Callithrix jacchus: one gene and its partners. The protein of the gene in region 3 interacts with the protein of the main gene of each other region in a biochemical or structural test. Links are inferred from orthologs where the notes say so. Each region holds a gene or a part of one and is shown on either strand. Other genes may lie near its edges.

What was found. The genes of interacting proteins can lie anywhere in the genome.
Region 1: the proteins of PLCG1 (region 3) and PDGFRA form a complex in vitro, tested with the Homo sapiens proteins (2 studies listed by BioGRID, with this or other methods). The link is inferred for Callithrix jacchus from reciprocal best matches to the Homo sapiens genes PLCG1 and PDGFRA.
Region 2: the proteins of PLCG1 (region 3) and ERBB3 form a complex in vitro, tested with the Homo sapiens proteins (2 studies listed by BioGRID and IntAct, with this or other methods). The link is inferred for Callithrix jacchus from reciprocal best matches to the Homo sapiens genes PLCG1 and ERBB3.

The regions. Positions count from the first base shown.
Region 1 is NC_133504.1:142,479,347-142,482,995, forward strand, and holds part of PDGFRA (platelet-derived growth factor receptor alpha precursor), read right to left. Parts: intron 1,408-3,649; coding exon 1,303-1,407; intron 905-1,302; coding exon 794-904; intron 148-793; coding exon 1-147. UniProt on the Homo sapiens protein: Tyrosine-protein kinase that acts as a cell-surface receptor for PDGFA, PDGFB and PDGFC and plays an essential role in the regulation of embryonic development, cell proliferation, survival and chemotaxis.
Region 2 is NC_133510.1:63,570,691-63,574,276, reverse strand, and holds part of ERBB3 (receptor tyrosine-protein kinase erbB-3), read left to right. Parts: coding exon 1-59; intron 60-1,129; coding exon 1,130-1,205; intron 1,206-1,396; coding exon 1,397-1,543; intron 1,544-2,266; coding exon 2,267-2,364; intron 2,365-2,455; coding exon 2,456-2,647; intron 2,648-2,790; coding exon 2,791-2,862; intron 2,863-3,586. UniProt on the Homo sapiens protein: Tyrosine-protein kinase that plays an essential role as cell surface receptor for neuregulins.
Region 3 is NC_133506.1:36,521,104-36,524,657, forward strand, and holds the end of PLCG1 (1-phosphatidylinositol 4,5-bisphosphate phosphodiesterase gamma-1), read left to right. Parts: exon of another isoform or gene 1-311; coding exon of another isoform or gene 312-352; intron 353-612; coding exon 613-727; intron 728-848; coding exon 849-1,010; intron 1,011-1,118; coding exon 1,119-1,207; intron 1,208-1,318; coding exon 1,319-1,506; intron 1,507-1,643; coding exon 1,644-1,686; 3' UTR 1,687-2,934; downstream 2,935-3,554. Other genes in the region: ZHX3 (zinc fingers and homeoboxes protein 3), read right to left, coding at 312-352. UniProt on the Homo sapiens protein: Mediates the production of the second messenger molecules diacylglycerol (DAG) and inositol 1,4,5-trisphosphate (IP3). Plays an important role in the regulation of intracellular signaling cascades.

The sequences.
Region 1 (3,649 bases), on a different chromosome or scaffold from region 3:
TGCTTTCATCAGCAGGGTTCAATCCAAAGATATCCAGTTCTTTCTTTGCCTTCTCCGGGTGGTGGCTCAGGAAGCTATCCCTATTCTTATGCAAATAGTTTACCAAATCTCCATAGAAGCAGTACTCTGTGATGATGTAGATGGGGCCTGTGGGGACAAAAACCGTTAGGAGACAGGTATGAAAATGAAGAACAGAAAAGCCAGGAATAGTCCTGCAGATCATATGGGACAGAAAAAAACAAGACATTAAAAGTTTTTTTTTTTAAAGCCATGGGCCAGGCACGGTAGTTCACACCTGTAATCCCAGCACTTTGGGAGGCCAAGGCGGGCAGATCACAGGGTCAGGAGATTGAGAGCATCCTTGCTAACACGGTGAAGCCCCTTCTCTAGTCTCTACTAAAAATACAAAAAATTACCCAGGCGCTTGTAGTGGCACACGCCCGTAGTCCCAGCTATTTAGGAGGCTGAGGCAGGAGAATCACTGGAACTGGGAGGTGGAGGTTGCAGTGAGCCGAGATCGTGGCACTACACTCCAGCCTGGGTGACAGAGTGAGATTCCAGCTCAAAAAAAAAAAAAAAAAAAGCCATGAATGGCTATGACTGGACTGGCAACAGATGTTGCTCAAAAACAATGAGCTTCTATCAGTTCAAGGGAACTGGTCAGCTCCATTCAAGGGACTTCTATTTCCTGGCATGTTCGGGGATGGAGAGTGGAGGATTTAAGCCCGAATTGAACAGTTTTCACAACTACACGTGTCCAGTGAAAGCCCTCACTCCAGGTCAGAGAGCCCACCTGACTTGGTACAGGCTCCCAGCAAGTTTACAATGTTCAAGTGTGGCCCCAGGTGAGTCATTATCTTCAGTTCAGACATGAGAGCTTGTTTTTCACTGGATCTGGCCGTGGCTGTTGAAGGAATGAATCACACATCAGTCCAGCTGGGCTACCAACTTCCCATTCTCAGACTGAAAAAAAAGAACATGACTAATCCTGTGATTAGATATCATTCTATTAATCAAAAGTCTAAAAGAAGCGGATAGCTACTTGGCCTCAATGCTAATATCTAATTCCTAGTCTTTCTGGTAAAAAGAAGCCACTGGAAACAACAATTCTTAATTTTCCAACATACAGGCAACAAGAGCAATCTAAATAAATCTAATTGACAACATTGTCTAAATACACATAAAACCTAGAGTCAAAAGAACCGGGACCTAGTCCTAAATGTCTTATTTACTAGCTGTATGATTTTGAGCAATTCCCTTAATATCACCGTGTTCATAACATCCCGAGGAAGGAGCACTTACGCTTTAACATCTTCACGGCAACCTTCATGACCGGCTGGGATCGGCTTAATCCATAGGCTGTTCCTTCAACCACCTTCCCAAACGCTCCAGACCCCAACACCCGACCTGTGGGCAGGCAGAATCATTAACGCCCAAGAACTCCAGAAGCCTCTTCAGCGTTCTGCACGGAAGCCAGCTCGGCGGGTGGACAGCTGGGCGGGAGGGCGTCTTTCCCGTTTGGAGTAAGCATAATGACTCCTCTAAGTCACGGTGTCAAAAACAGAATTGAGCCCACAGGGAAGGAAATTAGCATAATTGCTTTTGTCAAATAACATTTGCAAAGGAAAGAAAACACAGACGGAGAAAGGAGGGTGCATCCCTCCCCGGTGTGAACCCGCTGTCTACCGGCTCCCCTGCGTGCAGGGCCAGCCCCTGGGATCCTCCGCCTTCAGGGGCTCTCACCCAGATCCCCTGGTTCTCTCTCCTTCTGTTTTCCACATGCAAACAGGGGCATCTTTTGTCTTAGTAAATTCTTAGTCACTGGAAATATTTCAGTATTCAAAATATAACTGATTCCAAGGAGTGACTAAGTAAAAACTTCAGGCTGGGCTCAAGGCTCCCTGTTTGTTAGGAAGGCTACTCCACCAGGAACTAACCGGGCCGGAGAGCACACTGAAGCTGCTGTCCCCACCCTGGAAGGGTTCACAGTCTTCGAGAACTGTTTCCCAAGGTGTCAGTCTCATCATGGATAGGCAAGCCAGGGAAAGACTCGGCTCATCAAAGACACTAACAGCCAATACTGCCTCTTACTGCATGCTTGTGTTACTGGAAATTGTACCTCGAAAGGTATTGCTTCGCCAGCAATGTATCTTGGTATAATGGGAATAGTGCCTTTCTCCCCACATTTTACTATTTTTTTTTTTTTTTTTTTTTTGAGACAGAGTTTCGCTTTTGTTGCCTAGGCTGGAGTGCAATGGTACGATTTCAGCTCACTGCAACCTCCGCCTCCCAGGTTCAAGCGATTCTCCTGCCTCAGCCTCCCGAGTAGCTGGGGTTAGAGGCATGCGCTACCATGCCAGTCTAATTTTGTATGTTTTAGTAGAGACAGGGTTTCTCCATGTTGGTCAGGCTGGTCTCAAACTCCCGACCTCAGATGATCCGCCCACCTTGGCTTCCCAAAGTGCTGGGGTTACAGGCAGGAGCCACCATGCCTGGCCTATTTTACCACTTTTTAACTCCCTAAGCTCCTCATCCCTTTTTGGGAAATAGGCAAGAAAATAAAGAATGCTTAGATATAAGTATTTGAAATTGGGATCAGTTCTTATAACCACACATGGATTCTCCTTGCCCACTGACTAGACAGAGCGGATTTATCAAGAGAGGAGAACTGCAATAGAAAAAGAGTTCAATTCACACAAAGCCAGCTGTACAGGAGACTGGAATCTTATTATTACTCAAATCAGTGTCTCTGAAAACTGAGGGAATGGGGTTTTTAAGGATGATTTTGTGGGTAGAGAGTGAAATGGGAGTGCTGATTGGTTGGGTCAAAGATGAAATCATAGGTAGCTGACCCTGGCCTCTTGAGCTGAGTCAGTTCCTAGTTACAGGCCACAAGATCAGATGAGACCTGGGTGGTGTCAGCTGGTGCACTGAAATACAGGGTCTCTAAAATATCTCAAGCACTGACCTCAGGTTTTACAGCAGTGATTCTTAAACCATCTTTTCTAATCTTGTAGTTAATTTGTTAGTCTTGCAAAGGTGGTCTAGTTCCCAGGCAAGAAGAGGGTTTGTTTGGGCAAAGGGCTGTTCTTGTCTTCCTATCAAAGTCAAACTATAAACCAAGTTCCTCTCAAAGTCGGTTCGGCCTATGCCCAGGAAGGAACGAGGACAGCTTGGAAGCTAAAGCAAGATGGAGTTGATTGGATCGTATCTCATTCACTGTCATAATTTCCTCAGTTACAATTTTTGCAAAGGTGATTTCACTCTGGTGACTTGCTTGATTTCTCAGTTGAAGTAACTCTCTAAGAAGACTTAAACTCTTCTGTATTTTGGAATGAGACAGGTGGATAATTAAAACCTGCATTTGGCATTCGTTAACATATATACTGTTAGATCATTCATCTAACACAACCTCTACCTCTACTTTCATTTGTCTGTGTCTTGTTTTCATTCATTCGGAATGTGATTTAAAAAAGAAATATTCCCTTGGACTAAAGCTTCACATACTTGGTCTCAGCCCAGGATTGAAATATTTGAAATGCTTGTGATAAGTTGGCTTCCTTATTTTTACACATTTTGCCTTAAAATGTACCTATATTTTTATATTCCATATTCCAAATATATAAAAAAGAATATCTAATGCATCTTC
Region 2 (3,586 bases), on a different chromosome or scaffold from region 3:
TTGGTGTGGCTGACCTGCTGCCTCCTGATGATAAGCAGCTACTATACAGTGAGGCCAAGGTGAGGTGACACAAAGGGCTGGGTAAGGTGGTGGGGGTGGAGTGAAGCATGGGGATAGAGAGCAGTCAGTGGTCTCTTCCAGAGGCAAGCAGATGCTTCATGGTAAGTTCAAAGAGAGGAGGCTGCAGATGGCCAGATATCTTAGTTCAGAGAGCAACAAAGAAAAGAATGATCAAGAATTTGGTTGGAAAAAACCAACATGGTAACATGAAAGATGCCTAGCAGGAAAAAAAAAAGAACTTGGGACTTAGCCGGGAACGGTGGCTCACACCTATAATCCCAGCACTTTGGGAGGCTGAGGTGGGTGGATTACGAGGTCAGGAGTTCGAGACCAGCCTGATGAACATGGTGAAACTCTGTCTCTACTAAAAATACAAAAATTAGTTGGGCATGGTGGCATGTGCCTGGGCATGGTGGAGTGCCCAGCTACTCCAGAGGCTGAGGCAGGAAAATCTCTTGAACCCAGGAGGTGGAAGTGGCAATGAGCTGAGATCACACTACTGCCACTGCACTCCAGCTTGGGTGACAGAGCAAGACTCCATCTCAAAAAAATAAAAAATAGGCCGGGCGCGGTGGCTCATGCCTATAATCCCAGCACTTTGGGAGGCCGAGGCGGGTGGATCACGAGGTCAAGAGATCGAGACCATCTGGTCAACAAGGTGAAACCCCGTCTCTACTAAAAATACAAAAATTAGCTGGGCATGGTGGTGCGCACCTGTAGTCCCAGCTACTTGGGAGGCTGAGACAGGAGAATTGCTTGAACCCAGAAGGCGGAGGTTGCCGTGAGCCGAGATCGTGCCATTGCACTCCAGTCTGGGTAACAACAGCGAAACTCCATCTCAAAAATAAAAATAAAAAAATAAAAATAAAGGCTAGTCCGAAGGTAGTGAGTTATCTCAACTGATTGTTCACAGTCAGTTACAGATCGAACTCCTTATTCTACTCTTTCCCCCCTTCTCACTACTGCACTTGACTAGTCTTTAAAAAAAAAAAAGAACTTGAGACTTGGAAATGCTTGTCTCAAAAAAATTTGTGGAAATAAACGTGATATCTCTATCTTGAATCCACAGACTCCAATTAAGTGGATGGCCCTTGAAAGTATCCACTTTGGGAAATACACACACCAGAGTGACGTCTGGAGCTATGGTCAGTGCATCTGGAGCTCTCTCTACCATCACTGCCCCCAATTTCAAAGTTACCGTTTGAGACCCCCCTCTTAGAATCTTAGAATTTCTAAGCATTTCAGATTTTTGTGTCAGATCAGGTTCTGCCTTCCCTTCACTTCATGCCCATGTCTACTATTTTGCCAGTGACTACTACATTTCTTCTTGCACCAGGTGTGACAGTTTGGGAGTTGATGAGCTTCGGGGCAGAGCCCTATGCAGGGCTGCGATTGGCTGAAGTACCAGACCTGCTAGAGAAGGGGGAGCGGTTGGCACAGCCCCAGATCTGCACAATCGATGTCTACATGGTGATGGTCAAGTGTGAGTTACCTGCTAAGCCCAGACATTTTCTTTTTTTTTTTGAGACAATGTCTAGCTCTTGTCACCCAGGCTGGAGTGCAATGGCATAATCTTGGCTCACTACAACCTCCACCTCCTGGGTTCAAGTGATTCTCTTGCGTTAGCCTCTGGTGTAGCTGGCATTACAGGCACCGGCCACCGTGCCCAGCTAATTTATGTATTTTTATTAGAGACAGGGTTTTGCCATGTTGGCAAGGCTGGTCTCAATCTCCTGACCTCGTGATCCTACTGCCTCGGCCTTCCAAATGCTGGTATTACAGGTATAAGCCACCATGCCTGGCATGACCTCAGCTATTTTCTGACTTCCCTCTGTACTCCTCTTCTTAGGGCTCTATTCCCTTTTTTTTTTTTTTTTTTTTTTGAGATGGAGTCTCGCTCTGTCACCCATACTGGAGTGCAGTGGCATGGCCTTGGCTCACTGTGACCTCTGCTTTCTAGGTTTAAGTGATTCTCCTTTCTCAGCCTCCCAAATAGCAGGGACTATAAGCGTGCACCACCTAGCTAATTTTTTTTATATTTTTATAATTTCAGGATTTCACTATGTTAGTCAGGCTGTAAACTCCTGACCTCAGGTGATCCACTCGCCTTGGCCTCCTAAAATGCTGGGATTACAGGTGTGAGCCACTGCACCTGGCCATGGCTGTATTCCCTTTCATGTCTTTATCTCCTACATCTTACCTCCAGGTTGGATGATTGATGAGAACATTCGCCCAACCTTTAAAGAATTAGCCAATGAGTTCACCAGGATGGCCCGAGACCCACCACGGTATCTGGTCATAAAGGTGAGTAGGGAGTAGGAGGTGCTAAGGAAATTTTAAAAAGGGGGAGTTGGTTGGAACCAGGATTTCCCCTAACAATCACCTATCAATATAGAGAGAGAGTGGGCCTGGAATAGACCCTGGGGCAGAGCACCATGGTCTGACAAACAAAGAGCTGGAGGAAGTAGAGCTGGAGCCAGAACTAGACCTAGATCCAGACTTGGAAGCAGAGGAGGACAACCTGACAACCACCACACTGGGCTCCGTCCTCAGCCTACCAGTTGGAACACTTACTCGGCAACGTGGGGTAAGACACCTTCTAATTACCCAACGCTTTGCACCTTGAGCCCTCACCAACCTATAGAGACCCAGATTAACTACTCAAAAGCCCCCGTGGTAAATGTAGATTTCTCCCTTCATCTTAATCTTGTCCTTATTTTTTCATCCTAGAGCCAGAGCCTTTTAAATCCATCATCTGGATACATGCCCATGAACCAGGGTAACCTTGGGGAGGCTTGCCAGGTAAGGTCGGTAGCTGGCTGGGTTTTAGGATCAGATTGAGAGTAGTATGGAAGACATTAGAAACCTCCGAGGTTTAATCAGTGTCCTGAAAAAAAGAAGGCAGTGAGGGCCAAGCACAGTGGCTCATGTCTGTAATGCCAGTACTTTGGGAGGCCAGGGTGGATGGATCACCTGAGGTTAGGAGTTCAAGACCAGCCTGGGCAGCCGGGCGAGGTGGCTCACGCCTGTAATCCTAGCACTTTGGGAGGTCGAGGTGGGTGGATCACGAGGTCAAGAGATTGAGCCCATCCTGGTCAACATGGTGAAACCCCGACTCTACTAAAAATACAAAAAATTAGCTGGGCATGGTGGCACATGCCTGTAATCCCAGCTACTCAGGATGCTGAGGCAGGAGAATTGCCTGAACCCAGGAGGTGGAGGTTGCGGTGAGCCGAGATCGCGGCATTGCACTCCACTCTGGGTAACAAGAGTGAAACTCCATCTCAAAAAAAAAAAACAGACCAGCCTGGCAATATGGTGAAACCCTGTCTCTACCCAAAATACAAAAATTAGGCAGGATGGTGGTGCACACCTGTAATCCTGGCTACTCAGGAGACTGAGACAGGAGAATTGCTTGAAATGGGAGGCAGAGGTTACAATGAGCTGAGATTTTACTACTGCACACCAGCCTGGGCGACAGAGACACCGTCTCAAAAAACAAAAAGGCTGGGCGCAGTGGCTCACG
Region 3 (3,554 bases):
AAGTGGTGAAGATAGCTTGCAGTATACACATCTAGGACATGTGCAGAGCCATTGATGGGGTGACTTGTTCTGATAAGAAATTTTTTTTCCCTAAGAGGAAATCATTTAAAAGGTTTTTGGAGGCCGAGGCGGGTGGATCACGAGGTCAAGAGATCAAGACCATCCTGGTCAACATGGTGAAACCCCATCTCTACTAAGAATACAAAAAATTAGCTGGGCATGGTGGTGCGTGCCTGTAATCCCAGCTACTCAGGATGCTGAGGCAGGAGAATTGCCTGAATCCAGGAGGCGGAGGTTGCGGTGAGCCGAGATCACGCCATTGCACTCCAACCTGGGTAACAAAAGCGAAACTCTGTCTCAAAAAAAAAAAAAAAAGATTTTTGTGTTAAAATAGACATGGATTTAACATAAAGTAGATTGCAAAACTCACATGGAAATTTTAGCTCAAGCTAAGACTAAATAAACTACGGGCAGCAGGACTCCATGGGCAATGTCCTGGGGGCCCAGCAGAGGGCGCACTGCCTCCACTTCACAGATGTCTGCCTGAGCCTCCGCAATCTGGGATTGGAGGGAGCAGGAAAGACAATCCTAGGCCCCTTTGTCTCCCTGCAGGTGCTGGGGGCCCGACATCTGCCGAAGAATGGCCGAGGCATTGTGTGTCCTTTTGTGGAGATTGAGGTGGCTGGAGCTGAGTATGACAGCACCAAGCAGAAGACAGAGTTTGTGGGTCAGTCTGTCTTCCCAGTCATCATCCTCCTCCTCCTCCTGGGGGCACCACAAGGCCCTCTCCACCAGTCATCCCATCCTCTCCAAGGGTCACCTGAAGCCTTTTGTTGTTGCCTTCACAGTGGACAATGGACTCAACCCTGTATGGCCGGCCAAGCCCTTCCACTTCCAGATCAGTAACCCTGAATTTGCCTTTCTGCGTTTCGTGGTGTATGAGGAAGACATGTTTAGTGACCAGAATTTCCTGGCTCAGGCTACTTTCCCAGTAAAAGGCCTGAAGACAGGTGAGGACCATTCCTGGAGGCAGTGCCCCTGTGATCTTGCTGCCAGGGTGGGGCTGGGCCCCTTGCTCTGTCCCTCCTGGGCTGAGGACCAGGGTTTCCTCCTCTTAGGATACAGAGCAGTGCCTTTGAAGAACAACTACAGCGAGGACCTGGAATTGGCCTCCCTGCTGATCAAGATTGACATTTTCCCTGCCAAGGTATCTGCAGCAGGAGTGGGCTGGCCTGAGGTGGGTGGGAGGAGAACAGGCAACACCCTCCTGAAGTGCAGAAAAGTCACTGACCCTCTTCTGCACTTGCCTTCATTGAAGCAAGAGAATGGTGACCTCAGTCCCTTCAGTGGTACATCCCTGCGGGAGCGAGGCTCAGATGCCTCAGGCCAGCTGTTTCATGGCCGAGCCCGGGAAGGCTCCTTTGAGTCCCGCTACCAGCAGCCATTTGAGGACTTCCGCATCTCCCAGGAGCATCTCGCAGACCATTTTGACAGTCGAGAACGAAGGTGAGGGAGATGGAGGGGTGCTAGAGCCAGCAAGGCTGTGGCTAGGTCCTACTTCAGTGTTTCTTTCTACTGGGTAGAAAAGTTGTAATACTGTCTGGCTTTGGGCTGTCCAGTTGACACTCTTCCCTTCTGTCCAGGGCCCCAAGAAGGACTCGGGTCAATGGAGACAACCGCCTCTAGTTGTACCCCAGCTTCACTGGAGAGCAGCAGGTGCTGTGCACCTCATGGAATGCCGTGAACTGGGTTCTTTGGAAGCAGCCTGCTGTGGCGGCCTTCCAAGTCTCACAGCCTGAAGCCTGGATTCCAGCAGTGAATGCTAGACAGAAACCAAGCCATTAATGAGATGTATTACTGTTTTGGGCCTCCATGCCCCAGCTCTGAGTGAAGGCAAAAACTGTACTGTGTCTCGCATTAAGCACACACGTCTGGCCCTGACTTCTGGAGATGGATCCTTCCATCTTGTGGGGCCAGGACCACAGCCGAAGCCCCTTGGAGAAGGAGGGCACCTCAGCCAGTGGCACAGGAGGCTCCAAGGAGCCACTGACATTCCTAAGAGTGGAGGAGGAGGAGGAGCCTTGCTGGGCCAGGGAAACAAAGTTTACATTGTCCTGTAGCTTTAAAACCACAGTTGGGCAGGATGAAAGGCTAGATGCCCCTGCAGTTTGGCCCTGGAGCCAGGGCAGAGGAGTGTGGGGTCTGTGTGGAGAAGGGCTCTGCCCTACCTGAGGAGGAGGACACAGCACAAGGGCACATTGCCCATGGCTGGGAACATGACCCAGCCTGAAAGATACAGGGGATCATGTTAAAAATAGCAGTATTATTTTTCTTCTCAATGGTATTGTAACTAAGTTATTTACTCCTCCTGCTCCTCACCCTTGTAGGGAAACCTTGGAGTAGAGCCTTGGAGAGGAGAGTGGCAGGTGGGCTGCCTGCTGTGTTAAGAGGGCTCAGTTTGTGATGTTAAGGCACTGTTAAGAATGGGGTGGGGGGTGGGTGGGAAGAGAAGCAATAGCAAAGCCTATTTTGGTGAGGTTTTTTTTTTTTTTTTTTTTTTTTAAAAGAAAAGCTGACTTGATATGCTTTCCCTGAGGAAAGAAAGGAATTGAGATGCCTGCCGCTTGGGTGGGCAGGGTAGTACAGGCAGCTGGGTGCTGAATGAAGCTGCCATGCTTATTGCAGCTTCTGTCTAACTGGTAAAACAAAATGATCTAGGGATGGAGATGGGAAGGTTAGAAAGGCAGCCCCCACCTCTGAGGACAGAGGCTGGGGTCCAGGCCCGTGGGTGCAAAGGTGCCTCAGCATAGCCAGCATTCAGCACACACAAACCTACTGCCCATATTTGGGCTCAGGGTTGGCCATTTGCTAGTTCTGCTGCCCTCTTAAGATCTGACTGCCAAATAAATCATCCTCATGTCCTTTTTCCTTTAACTTGTATGCTCTTTTGGTGGCTCAGGAAAGCCTGTTATCTGGGGACATACTCACCAGATGATTCTGCAATAGAAGCAGGTGGGACGTTTCTGGAAACTTTTCAGGTTAAGCAGCTGTTACCTTCTCTGGGCTAACAGGAATTGTGGGGCCACCTTCTCTCCTGCCCATCCTTCCAACAGAGTACATCTGCCTGGGTTCCTGGCCAGCCAGCTTTGGTGGTGATCTGGAAACCACCACAGCCCGTTTCCAGTTCCACAGAAACCTCTCCTTTCAAAACTGATGCATTCAGTTAACATTGCCAGGTGCCATTCTGGTTGCCTCTATGACTTGGCAGCTGAAGTCTCTGTGCCCAGAACATGGTTGAAAGGTCCTTCTCTTCCCGAGGCTCTGTTTTCATCATATTTTGTGCAGGGATGGAACAAAAATGATACCACACAATTTAAGATCTGGTTCCATGGATGACATGAACTGATAGTATCAAACAGTGATAGTGCTCAGGTTCTTGTGTGACTTTCTTCTAGAGCTTCACAGTCCCAGCTCAGAGAGAGGAGGGTGACCTTTTCCCATACAACTGAAGAAGGTGGTGGATGGGAATTCACCAGGGCCCTCATGATCCATGT